Kluyveromyces lactis: one gene and its partner. The protein of the gene in region 2 purifies or fractionates together with the protein of the main gene of each other region. This does not show direct contact. Links are inferred from orthologs where the notes say so. Each region holds a gene or a part of one and is shown on either strand. Other genes may lie near its edges.

Region 1 (3,149 bases), on a different chromosome or scaffold from region 2:
ACCATAAGTGAAGATACTGTATTTGACGATGACGATGATGATGTTAGTAAAGTTGAGAATTAAAGGGAAAAAAAAGGGTTAAGAAAATCCGTCCTTAAACATACACGAACTGGCCAACGCCGTTCCAATAAAAATAGGTGCAAATCTCATATCTGCGGCTAATGCTTTGTTATTACTGTTGCTACTCTATTCTTTGTTCTTGCTAACAATCTCCCTTATCCTTCATATATCATGATTCATTATTCTTTTATATGGATATCATATCTCATAGTGAGTATTTGGCAGAAGGAAAAACTGGTAATCAAAAAAAAACAACGTGATCATAAATTAATAAACGTTACCCGGTTTGAATCACGTGTTAATCACGTTCTTGATAGCCCGCCCTGCGCCTTTCGTGTCGGCCCCCGTACGGCTTCCGTTTTTTTAGGTTCGTTTCGTTATTTTTCAACTGATTTCATTCAATAGTTTCAATTTTTGTCGATTCCGAAGGTTTCCCTGTTCCCCACGTCAAGACAGTTGCAACTTTTTTGTGATGAGCCGTCGCCTTTATAGATCACACCAGCGAAACAGCTTTTCACAAAGATACTTCTGTTCACTGTGTTATCCCATTTCGATAATTAATAGTAATGACTCTGGCAGTTTGGAAAGCTCAATAGATTGATAAAAAAAAAACTGGTTCTTCAACTTAAAAGTTGCGCAAAGGAACGATGAAATATAGATCAGTTAAATAAGTGGTCTTCTCTGGAATACTACAGTATTTTTTCGAATTACAATCCGTTCAATTATATAATTGTAGTTTATATATGGTCCGTACCGTAGTGAATCACCAAACCCTACCGCATCATGCTGGTATTTGAGTCCTGTAGATCAATTTTCTTGCTATTTAATTGATCAAACCGTCTAATAGTTGTATTTATTTGGGATCGTAATCTTTTTTTTCCATTCCAATTGACATTAATATAAAAGGAATTCACTAGGATATTTTATATTTCAAGAAATATATCAAGTGAAACCACAGAGAAAGGGTTCAGATAACGTATAAGTAAGAGGTTAGAGGATTATCTTATTTATCTTGTTTATTTATATCCGCCCTAATCAAAGATGTTGAGATTCAATTCTACCCGTTCCTTTAGCTCTTCTGCTCTTTTGAAAACCGTTACTAAGAAGCACGACTTGGTCGTTATTGGTGGTGGTCCAGGTGGTTACGTTGCTGCTATCAAGGCTGCTCAACTCGGTTACGATGTTGCTTGTGTTGAGAAAAGAGGTAGACTAGGTGGTACTTGTTTAAACGTTGGTTGTATCCCATCCAAGGCTTTGTTGAACAATTCTCACCTATACCATCAAATGAAGACGGATGCTAAGCAAAGAGGTATTGATATCAACGGTGAAATCAACATTAACGTTGCTCAATTTCAAAAGGCTAAGGACACTGTCGTCAAGCAATTGACTGGTGGTATTGAAATGTTGTTCAAGAAGAATGGTGTCACTTACTACAAAGGTTTAGGTGCCTTTGAAACTGACAAATCCGTTAAGGTTCTTCCTGTGGAAGGTCTGGAAGGTTCCGTTACTGAAGATCACCTCTTGGAAAGTGACAGGATTATTGTTGCCACTGGTTCTGAAGTGACTCCATTCCCAGGTATCACCATTGATGAGGAAAGAATCGTTTCTTCTACTGGTGCTCTTTCCTTGAAAGAAATCCCAAAGAAATTGGCTATCATCGGTGGTGGTATCATCGGTTTAGAAATGGGTTCAGTTTACTCCAGATTGGGTTCTAAGGTCACTGTGATCGAATTCCAACCTCAAATTGGTGCTACCATGGATGGTGAAGTCGCTCAAACTACTCAAAAGATTTTGAAGAAACAAGGTCTCGACTTTAAGTTGAGCACCAAGGTCTTGTCTGCCTCCAGAAACGGTGACGTCGTTGACATCGAAGTCGAAGGTGCCAAGAATGGTAAGAAGGAATCTCTCCAAGCTGATGTCTTGTTGGTCGCTGTCGGCAGAAGACCATACGTCGCTGGTTTGAACGCTGAAAAGATCGGTTTGGAAGTCGACAAGCGTGGTAGATTGGTCATTGATGAACAATTATCCACCAAATTCCCACACGTCAAGGTTATCGGTGATGTTACCTTCGGTCCAATGTTGGCTCACAAGGCTGAAGAAGAAGGTATCGCTGCTGCCGAATACTTCAAGGTCGGCCACGGTCATGTCAACTACGGTAACATCCCGGCTGTCATGTACTCCCACCCAGAAGTCGCTTGGGTCGGTAAGACCGAAGAACAATTAAAGGAAGCTGGTATTCAATACAAGATTGGAAAGTTCCCATTCATCGCTAACTCTAGAGCTAAAACCAACATGGACACCGAAGGTTTCGTTAAGATTTTGATCGACGCAGAATCTGAACGTTTACTAGGTGCTCACATCATTGGTCCTAACGCTGGTGAAATGATCGCTGAAGCCGGTTTAGCATTGGAATACGGTGCTTCTGCTGAAGACATCGCTAGAGTTTGTCACGCTCATCCAACTCTATCCGAAGCTTTCAAGGAAGCTAACTTAGCTGCTTACGCCAAGCCAATCAACTTCTAATTTTTCTTGATAAAGCGAAGTGGAAAAAAAAAATTGCGGATAATTGAAGCTGCTTGATATCAATAACTATAATAAGCTACTTAACAATGGTACGTCGTATCCAGTTGTCGTCTATTTTTTTTTTTATTTATCTCGCCATCTGAAGCATCTTTCTTCTTATATATTCCTCGAATCATTCTTTGATTTCAAACTATACATTGAAAAGTAAAGATTATCAAAAATAAATAGTAAACACGTATAATATATTTAACGTAAATGATATGAAATGTTTGTAAACGAATTCTCAGAACATTCTCAGCTTGTGTGTAATAGGCACCACATCGTTATATCAAAAAAAGAGATCATTGGTCCAGAATGAACAGGGGAAATAAAAAGATTGGACGAGTCCGGAGTCGAACCGAAGACCTCTCCCATGCTAAGGGAGCGCGCTACCAACTACGCCACACGCCCTAATTTCTTATTAACAAGAGTTTTGAGTGAACCATCACCACTCCGTGTAAACATGATTTTCTATTTATATCATTACGTTTCACAATACTAACTTATAACGCATTTTGACCATTCAA
Region 2 (2,651 bases):
AATATCCTTTTACGGTTCCTGGTTTTTCAGACACGTGAACAGCGTACCGTTTTTTGTTTTTTTTGTACTTGAAACGAAAAACAAAAAACGGTACACATTACGTGCTGTTCTGTGGGGAAAAACGCGCAATTTTGTTCCTGTTTGTTTGTGTCTTTTTTTTTTTATTTGGGTTTCATTTCATCTCGCATTTCGCTTGCATCTCGCTTAGTTAGGCTACTGGTATTTTTGGAATGGAAAGCTGCTTAGTCTGAATAGGGCACTGGTGCCAGGTTGGTATTCTGCGAAAATATGATGCAGTAATTTTTGATGTTACTTTTTGATCTTCTTTACTGTGCCAAGACCATAAAGAAGTCTGAAGTGCCTGTTTGGTTGAATTCTTGAGTTGTCGTTTTTTTGTCTATTATACTGATAATATAGATATATATCTGCCGGCTCTTAAGTCCAGTCTATACAGCTTGCGGACGGGGCATGAATATTTCGAAGAAGATTTGGCTTCGGCTTCTTCTAGTTTTTTTTTCCTCTTTATGTCTTGTCGTAATTTTACTCATTGGAACAATTCCAAGTTAGATAGTTGGGCAACGAAATTTTCTGCTCTTTGCTTGGCATCCGTTAACGATTCGTCAACGGCGACGGAAACGTTCAACGCGTATTCGTGACGTGTTTGTTGTTGTTTGGATACTGCGGATGCCTCTTGTTGTAGTTCTTGCGTTGTTGTACCAGATAATAAATCAAAGATATCTGGTTGTGGTGAAGAGGTACGGTGTCTTGGTGTAGGTTCCAAGTCTACTATGTTATAAGTGACCTTGAAACGAGGTTTTGTTGGTTCTTGTACTAGTAACTCTTCGAATAATGGGTCGTATAGTTCGGATGCGTCATTGGTCAATGGTTCGTCGTGTGCCAAGAATGAACATTCCTTGACGTACGATGCTATCGCAGCAGATAGTTGGGAGTAAGTGACGTTTTCTGGGACATGGAGTGTGATCTGTTCGCTTAGTACTAGAGGTAATGGTTTAGCGGGTTTAGCAGCTTGTGCTGCTGCTGCTGCTGCTGCAGTTTCTCTAGCAGGTCTTAATTCGATGTTGGTTAGATCCAATTTCTCATGGGATTTGATGTACTCGGTTACCTTGTTCAACGAATCTTGGGAAATCTTACCCAAATAGGCTAGCACATCACCTTTTAAGATTCTACCGTTTGGACCAGTGGCCTTGATTTTGTCCAACGCATCTGCAGTTGAAATATTGTTTTCCTCTAGTAGTGATAGCACAGATGGGAATAATGTTTGAGATGCATTAGCCTGAACACTGCCGTTCTTAGAAGGTGTTTTTGAAGCACTGGTTTGCTTCTTCTTGTCAGTTTTTTCCACTGGTTTGGCCTCCTCCTTTTTAGTTTCAACTGGCTTTGATTCTTTCTTGGCTTCAACGGGCTTTGGGAACTCCAAAGTGGCCAAATCATCGTCCACATCAGCGATGTATGCAATGGGTTCCCCGACAGGAATATCCTTGGCACCGTTCTCCTTCAAAATTTTGGCAAGCTTACCGTCATCTTGTGCCTCCACGTCAATGGTTGCCTTGTCGGTTTCAACCTCCAAGAGCACATCACCGGCAGAGAAAGTATCACCAGCTTTGAACTTCCAATCAACGACACCGCCCCTTTCCATGGTTGGTGACATGGCAGGCATCCCAAAGGCTTGGGCCTTCAACATAGTTCTACATTGGTGTAATTGACGGAGACACGCCCTGTTTTTAATTGCTAAACGGAACATTATTGAATACAGGTTTTTTCAACAAACACACTACAGTCTCTCTCCTATATCTTCCGTACAGGCCTAACAAAGGATGGTTTTGCTTCTTTTCTGATCTGTGTCGTCCTTATCTATTGTAAATGATACTTTTAATTACCACCTTCTTTCGCTGAATGACGAATATAGGTTTCCAATTTACAGACTTCGTTTTTTCTACCAATAGATTGTCGATAAAATCGTCTTTCTCCCAGAAACAATTGACAACAAAAGTATTCAATTGAACTTTGTTCAAAGCTCTGTGTACTTGGACAATTCAATCTTTCACATATATACTTTATTTCTAAACCTTTCCCATAGTCTCATCTCAACGGTATAAAACCGTCGGGTGGGGGACTGTGTCGTCTCTAGTGGGATAACACTTTTTTTTTTTTTCACAAACAGTGGATAACGATTTCCGGGTAATGTCTTTGAGAGGTTCATCATGTGTACAAAGATTGATTGCCTACTTACTTACTTACTTACTTACTTGCATCATGGCTATTGATGCGTCACGGTCAATTGGAGGTTCATCTAACAGCGTTTTTGATTTAGTGTGATGACGCTTCTCTTTCAATCTCACTTAGAGTTCGAATCTTGTTGTTGTAGTTTTCCCATTTGGCAGCGTCCGAGTTACAAACAAACTCACAATCTCTTTCCCAGTTAAAGAATGCGTTCAACCATCGGTCGAACGATGGGGTTTCGGGGTTTTGCTCCTTGAGCAAGGACCATAGCGCCTTGTAGCAACCGCCTAGAGCACACGAATTTGCAGTTTCTAGTCTGTAGTTACCATTCTTGGCTCCAATGACATTAGCCATCGTTTTGATGATGGCTTCGTTCTTTGATGCACCACCGACGAAAAAGGCTCTATTAG

What was found. Proteins that work in one complex are often made in the same cells at the same time.
Region 1: the proteins of PDX1 (region 2) and LPD1 purify together in Saccharomyces cerevisiae (affinity purification with mass spectrometry; 3 studies listed by BioGRID). This does not show direct contact. The link is inferred for Kluyveromyces lactis from reciprocal best matches to the Saccharomyces cerevisiae genes PDX1 and LPD1.

What each region holds. Positions count from the first base shown.
Region 1 is NC_006040.1:950,948-954,096, forward strand, and holds LPD1 (dihydrolipoyl dehydrogenase), read left to right. Parts: upstream 1-1,101; coding exon 1,102-2,583; downstream 2,584-3,149. Other genes in the region: KLLA0_D11143g (uncharacterized protein), read right to left, coding at 1-16, 105-150.
Region 2 is NC_006041.1:864,715-867,365, reverse strand, and holds PDX1 (Pdx1p), read right to left. Parts: upstream 1,763-2,651; coding exon 545-1,762; downstream 1-544. Other genes in the region: XKS1 (xylulokinase), read right to left, coding at 2,329-2,651. UniProt on the Saccharomyces cerevisiae protein: Required for anchoring dihydrolipoamide dehydrogenase (E3) to the dihydrolipoamide transacetylase (E2) core of the pyruvate dehydrogenase complexes of eukaryotes. This specific binding is essential for a functional PDH complex.